Arabidopsis thaliana: one gene and its partner. The protein of the gene in region 2 interacts with the protein of the main gene of each other region in a pairwise test. Each region holds a gene or a part of one and is shown on either strand. Other genes may lie near its edges.

Evidence for each region. Proteins that work in one complex are often made in the same cells at the same time.
Region 1: the proteins of PDLP8 (region 2) and AT1G14990 interact in a protein complementation assay, tested with the Arabidopsis thaliana proteins (one large-scale study listed by BioGRID).

The regions. Positions count from the first base shown.
Region 1 is NC_003070.9:5,166,446-5,170,009, reverse strand, and holds AT1G14990 (uncharacterized protein), read left to right. Parts: upstream 1-1,745; 5' UTR 1,746-1,858; coding exon 1,859-1,977; intron 1,978-2,130; coding exon 2,131-2,212; intron 2,213-2,307; coding exon 2,308-2,424; intron 2,425-2,485; coding exon 2,486-2,515; intron 2,516-2,605; coding exon 2,606-2,656; 3' UTR 2,657-2,979; downstream 2,980-3,564. Other genes in the region: scpl50 (serine carboxypeptidase-like 50), read right to left, coding at 63-1,397; CPN10 (chaperonin 10), read left to right, coding at 3,356-3,460, 3,547-3,564.
Region 2 is NC_003074.8:22,440,125-22,443,879, reverse strand, and holds PDLP8 (plasmodesmata-located protein 8), read right to left. Parts: upstream 2,110-3,755; 5' UTR 1,846-2,109; coding exon 1,119-1,845; coding exon of another isoform or gene 1,102-1,118; exon of another isoform or gene 507-1,101; coding exon 364-506; 3' UTR 277-363; coding exon of another isoform or gene 272-276; 3' UTR 6-271; downstream 1-5. Other genes in the region: AT3G60710 (F-box family protein), read right to left, coding at 2,408-2,758, 2,839-2,979, 3,125-3,419, 3,507-3,682. UniProt on the Arabidopsis thaliana protein: Modulates cell-to-cell trafficking.

The DNA.
Region 1 (3,564 bases), on a different chromosome or scaffold from region 2:
AATCCAGAGTACAATTAGAATCTGAATTGAATCTTACAGAACTAAGTACAAGTACACAATATTTAGATTGAATGGTATAAGCTCGACGAAGTTGTCTGCTTCACATCTTTACCACCGAACAATCCTTTCCCCAAAACCCAACCTTCAATCATATCCCTTGAATTCACAGCTTTATCTGTCGGAACAAAATGACCAGCTCCTGTAACCGCCACGTGGCACAAATTCCCCCATCTCTGAACATAACCAGCGACCACACCGTCTTCATCCTTCCACACACGCCTCTCCGCCGTCGAGAACATTCCCAATCCTGACCAGTTCATAGTCTTCATCCACTCCTCCGTCGAAACGACGCCGTCTCTTAGATCAAGCATACCTTGATACAGCAAGACTTGAGTCCTCTCCAATGCGTACTCCACCATGAACTTTACGCTCTTCATCACGTCTGCCCGCAACACATCTTCTACTTCATCACTACATTCCTCAAAACGAACCGTTTCACTCACTCCCAAAACACGTTTTGCTTCTCTCTGGTTCAAGAGGTCCACCACGAGGTCTGTTCTGTATGGAATCGCCCGTGCCGTGTTGTAGAGCGTCGCGAGTCCTGTCATGTTACTTAGTAGCGTCAACAGTTCGGTCCTCGCGTCTGCTGCTTCACGCCATTTCTGGGACTTCACGAGAGCTACAGATATCTCCTGCGCTTTTTGCAGTTCAACTCTCTGTTTTGCGTTGACCAGACCCGAGTAGTAGACGTTGACCGCATGGGTTTGAACCTGGGTCACCGGGTCGGTCAGCCCGTTTCCAATGGCTAGCCCCTTTAGATTCACTTTCCCATTGGGTTTCTCTTTAAGGATATAGTATCCAATGGCTGGAACGTACTTCCCGGCGTAGCTCTCTCCAGTGAAGTAAACCGGTCGGTTTTCGAAGCTTGGGTTTTGTTCAAGGAACTCCACGAGAGCGGCGTAAAGATGCTCAGCGACCTGTCTCTGATTTGTGGGTATGTCTTGTTGTGAGGCTGCGATGCTGAATCCGACTCCTATTGGGTTATCCACAAAAAGTAGTCCGAATAGACGGTTCCATGCGCCGGGGTTGCGCTCGAGGTCTGTGGCGCGTGAAACTACACGCCAGGGACCGAGCTCGTAAAAGTTGCCAATCATTGAAGAGCAGCCTGGCCCACCTTGGAGCCAAACGAGGAGCGGAGTGTCAGGAAGAGGTGTGGTTGGCTCTTGGGCTTCGTAGAAGGCATAGAACATGGACGAGCCGGGTGCGGGTTTAACCGGGAGGTAGCCAGATTTAGTGGGGAGAGCTTCATCGGGAAATAGCGGTGGCTGAGGAGACTCAACGGAGACGGCGAGGAGGAGAGTGGAAAGCAATATGAAGAGTGTAGTGGCTTGCTCCATTATTTCCACTAATTGGTGACGCCTTTACATAAAGATCCCTTTGTATTATTTCATTTATTTCATTATTTGACTGCAAAACATTACGTTTATGTTTTGTCTTGTATAACATGTGAATTTTTAAATGTGTAACAATAACATTTTTGTCAAGACGTGCTTGCTTACTAACCTAATTGCATTAACATGTGAGTTTTTTAATTTAAAGGTTTTTGTTTGTAGATGATTTTCCATAATGTATATTATTTTAAATTTATTGTTGCCAAAAGAAATAAAATCTAAAAGTTTTATTGGGCCGAAAAGAGAAAAAGGTCAGATAGGCCCATAAAAAGTTGGACAATACAAAGCGTTTACAATTTGTCAATTGCAAATTTCGTGAGATGCTTCTTCTACTCGTCATCTCTGTTTGGTAAAGTGATCACAAGGTGTTCGATATAATACCTGAAAGAGTTTCCGAAGGTGTGAAGATGATGATCTTGGATGTTTGCTCAGAGGTTATAAAGATCCAGAAGCTACGACGGGCTGTCTCTTACGCCGGATTCTACTGCTTCACTGCTGCCCTCACATTCTTCTATACAAACAACACGTAATGTCTTTCGTCCGATCTCAGTTTGCTTCTTTTGGTTGTTCTTTCTTTTCAATATCGGAATTCGCAGATGATTTCAATTTCTGGGTTCTTCTCTTGGTTTCTGCTTCAGGTTTAATTTGATTTAATGTTACTGATTCGAATGTTGTGTAGAACAAGAGCAGGATATTCCAGGGGAGATCAGTTTTATGCATCTTACCCTGCTGGCACCGAACTTTTGACCGACACAGCTAAGGTTTGTCCTTGATGACAATTTTGAGTTGTCGTTTACAGTTTATATAGTTGATTAGTTCTGTGTGGAACTGATGATTGGGGTTTATTGGAGTAAAGCTGTACAAAGCGGCGCTTGGGAATTGCTATGAATCTGAAGATTGGGGTCCTGTTGAATTCTGCATAATGGCTAAGCATTTTGATCGCCAGGGAAAATCTCCATACGTTTACCACTCCGTAAGTTTCTTCAATCTCTTTATGATAATCTCTGTGGTGCGGATATTTTAGTGTTGTAAAGGTCAGTTTCCATAAGTCTAGAATCTTGATGGTACTGACTTTGTGGTGCCATTGATAGAAATGTTTGTCGAATCATGTGGGGTTAGAACCAAGAATTGAGCTCATTTTATTGTGAATGCAGCAATACATGGCTCACCTTCTATCTCAAGGCCAACTCGATGGAAGTGGCTAGTGGCGCCAGCTCTCTTTGTTTCAGCTTTGTGCCTAATCTTGTTATAGCAAATTCGAATCCTGGTATCTTGGAACATTTGTATGGTGTTTGTATAAGTCCGGAACCGTACCATTGGCTTACATGGATTATTCAGATTTGTACTCTGAAAATTAAGAGCATGTAATTCCCGCAGAGGCACAATGTAATAAACATATAGCATAGCAAAGCAACAATCCGGGGAAAAACTTTGGTTACCACCTTGAAAGAAATGGGGAAAACTGACAGAGCAAGAAGCTTTCCATCATCAGCAGAGACGTTTGATAAAAGAAAGGTCAAGATTTCATTCCACGAAAAATCTGCCGAAAATAAACATCTCATTCTGGATGTGGTATATGAAATGGGATTGTACATGGAGTTTGAAAAACTTGGCAAAGAGAATCATGGAAGGAACTAACCATTTGAGCTGCAAGGTCATACAACACTTCCAAGAATTTATTTAGACAAACACAAATGCGACTGGTTTTTTTTAATGAGTGAGGCCCATTAAAGAAATAGTATGATATTATAGGCCCAAACAATCCCAAAACCCTTGGCCTTTTTCTGTCGCGCTAAACCCTACGATCTAGAACCTTCCGTCTTATGTGTCTCTGCCCCAAATTAAAAACTCAGAAACCCTAGAAAATTCCGATTCATCAACTGAGAGAGAAGAAGAATTGAGAAATGATGAAGCGTCTGATCCCAACGTTCAACCGCATCTTGGTGCAGAGAGTCATCCAGCCCGCTAAAACCGAAAGCGGCATTCTCCTACCTGAGAAATCCTCCAAGGTAAAAGAGCTTTGATTTCACGATTTGATTCTTCTGATTTTCGCCTCTTAGATCTGAAAAATAAACATATTTTTGGGTGATTGCAGCTGAACTCAGGCAAGGTG
Region 2 (3,755 bases):
AGTCTAAAACTAGTTAATGGAATAAAGTTAGCATCTTTTTAAGGCAGACAATACGGGTCACACTATACAAATATTTAATACCTCAAAGCTAAAAATCATTATATCATCAGTCACTAATAGTTTTCCTTTTGATAAACCAAAAATTTCAGCAAGGAACGGTAACGGATGTGTTCCTCCTACAAAATAAAAGGAATAGTGGAATACAAGAGAGTTCAAAAAAAAAAAAACAGGTCCCTAGAATCTTGTATCCCGAATCATGCCTTTCATTATATCAATCTGCAAATCAGATAAGAAAAATTATGAGATCATGATACTTATTTCTAAATATATACTAAAAATGAGTGATTTGATCTTAAATCTTAATCATGTGAAGATTAGGCAAGTAAGTATAGACTTACGCATGGAGTTTCTACAAAGGGAGAGGAGAACAACAAGAATTGCGAATCCAGCAATGACTCCTACGATGATCGCGATTGATTTCCCCACGTGATCTCCATTCGTTGGATCTTAATAACGAAAATTAGATCAAATTTAAAAAGATCTTAATATTGTATGTGACAAATTAAAGTACATAAGATAAGGACAATATAGTATCAAGCTAAGAATTAGATTTTCTAAGATGCAATGACTTTTGGACTATGTGATATTGATCAAGCTATAAAGAATATATAAAATAAAGTTGAAAATGGGGACATGGGTGGCTATGCCTATAAAGAAAAGAATAATATATTGCAAAAACATTCTTTTCTGACCAATGATATTATAATCATGATACTCGAATTTTCCAACGAATGATTCAAAAGATTAATTCTATTTTATTCAATACTTAATGGTGTCTTTCCAGTGGAAATTACAAAAAAAAAAAAGCAACGAAAATTTTATGATTTCTTCAACTTTCTCGTGCTACCAAGGAGCGACTAGACTTGTGATTTTCTCAATTATAAGCGGCGGAAATTTAAATTTTGTCAAATTCTCACACATTTCTATACAGTTCATTACTACAATTTTCAATTATATTATCATGGCACTAAGCATGATTCACGAATATAATTAAAGAACTTACGTAAATTAGAGCAATAGCTAATAAATGAAATAAAGATTTTAATTTATGGACTGACCTGAAGAGAAGTCATAGTAACCAGAGCCCCAATAACGAGCATAGCACTGAGCCAAGTAAACCTCAGCTGCAACCGCCGAGCCACAAAGATTCTTTAATTTTCCGACAGACTCGGCAAGACAAGCCGTACAGTCACTAGGACTCAAGTCACCAACACACTGAGCATAACCTTCGACTAAACCGGACCGGCTAACTTTGTAACCGAGTTGAGTCGACTCAAGATCCGACAACACATCGTCTCTCCGCTTAAAGAAATCGTAGTCATTCTCAACGCTCTTGGAACTACACTTCTTGTACCTAAGACTTGTGTCTGGTTTCCCTAGAAAATCGTTTGTTTCGTAACGTAAGAAGCAGCCTTCGAGCTGGAGAGAAGCGCCGTAAGAGTAAGGACAAATGAGAGTGATTTGATCGACTGAGGTTTGGATGCATTTTGAGCAGTCTGATGATCGGAGATCGTCACGGCATTGATAGAGGCCGAAGACGGCGGAAGAGGATGAGGAGGAGGAGGAGTCGTTGCCGACGGCAAAGCTGTTGAAGGACGCGTCAGAGGAGGAAGTGACGACAGAGGAGAGGAAAGTGTCGCGGTTTGACTCAAAAGGTGTGTTTGGTGTGTATTTTTCCGGTGAACATCCTCCGTAGATGAAGATGTGAGATTCTGATGAAGATCTTGAGGAGGAGGATGAGTAAAAGAATAAAAAGAGGAGAGAGAAGAGAAAGAGTCTTCTCATATTTTCTTGTTCTTTGAGATTGTTTTCAAAGGAGCTTTCGTTTTTGATCTATCTTATTCCTTGTAGTGTTTTATTTAACAATAATAATCGAGAATGATTATTCATCACTATGGGTCCGAAACTTTTATCGGCGACATTAATACAAACATGTATAATGCATACCGTAGTTAAGAAATAAGTGGATATATATAAATGTAGCTAGGATGAATACAAAACTACATAATAGATCAACAAACGTGGTCTAGAACATTCACTTGTAACGAATCAATACCAAAGTGTAGACAAATTGGATGATAACATTATTGTTTTGTTAAGAGTGCCTAAAATGATTTAGACATGATTAAAGAAGATTTGGTTTTGTGGGTATAATAATATCTTGAAACTTCTTTTGTGCAAAGAGGGTCCCATTTTAGGCATGTCCTTTTGATTAGTATATGTTCGCTAGATCGATTCCATCACACATATTCTCATCAAGTTAGTGGAGAATTTTCAAGTGATAGAAACAACTTTCTTTAAATCCTGACCACGACCAAAAGGGCTAATTAGATTGATCATAAGAGATTTAAAGAAAACGACGACTAAAGTGCTTAGCTTCATCAAATGTATAACCTAGGCGAAATTTCGATGCTTCTCGACCTATCTTCACCTCTACAAAAGAGTAATTTTGAAAGGTGAGAATTTTCTCAAGGACGCTGCTAGACTCGTCTTCTTCTTCATCATCTAACCATAGAGTGAGCTTCAGAAGTGTTGCATTCTCTAAGATGTAGTTAGCAACCTCGGTTTCAGCTTTTCGGCTTTTCTCTTGGTCAGCCTTGGGCGTCATTTTTATTTTGACATTCTCAATGGATGTTTGGAGACATTTTGGCACTGGTGAGCTTGCAATTTCCTCCATCTTTGGATAACCATGAAGCTCCTACAAAGGAAAACACCATAAGACATGTATAATATATATAGTCACTCGCTACTCTCAATACCAAGAGAAGGAATCATTACCAAGTCAATAGATTTTAGGTTGGGACTGCTGGAGAGATATATAGGCAACATCTCTGAATAGTCGGTATGGAGAAAAGCGTACAAACGGGTCAAGTTCTTGAATTCAGGCAGTTGTTGCAGTTTTGTGTAAGCATAGGTTCCCTGTCAAGAACCAACACTTGGTAAGAACAAATACATGCATCTAGAGTATGGCCAGAGATGCTAAGATCTGTGACCTCCGAGAACTCAGCAAAAAACTTGTGCAAAGTTTGCGTGTTTGAAAAGTCATCTCCCCATAAAACCGTACATCGATACACATCTTGATAGAAGAAATAACACTTTCCACTCTGAAGTCTTCCAATGGAAAATCTCTGATACGCAGAAACTCTAAGCTAGGAGTGTCAATCACAAGTCCAGATTCTCCATCATCACCCAAGGAGACATCATCATTTTCTCCCTTAAAGATAAATGTCCATAGACTCAAGCTCCTTAACGTCTGAGATCGCACTTTCAAAAAGTCAACTCCAACATCACAAATGCTCAAGACTTGAAGAACAGGAGAGCACGAGATAAGCATCTCTAGAACCACATCACTCGGTGTACTGCGAAACCCTAAATGCATAACCTCAAGGTGAGGTAGATAGAAAGACTCACAACTATCAAAATCATCCAGAATTACATATTCTAACCGCAAGTTTACAAATTTAAGAATCTGTCGAGAAATTAGGTACAAACCAGGAACACTTTGCCAGAGATTTCTCCATCTTGTCGGTAAGACACTTGTCCTAACAGACTCACTCGTGGGAAGATTCAAGAGTATCTCTTGCAGCAACTCATTGGGCAATTGGCTTATCAAATCTTCCATTGGTCCCTAAATTGATCAACAGAACAAAGAGACAAAGACACGGTATTTATTAGCTAAGGTCTAAGAAAACAAA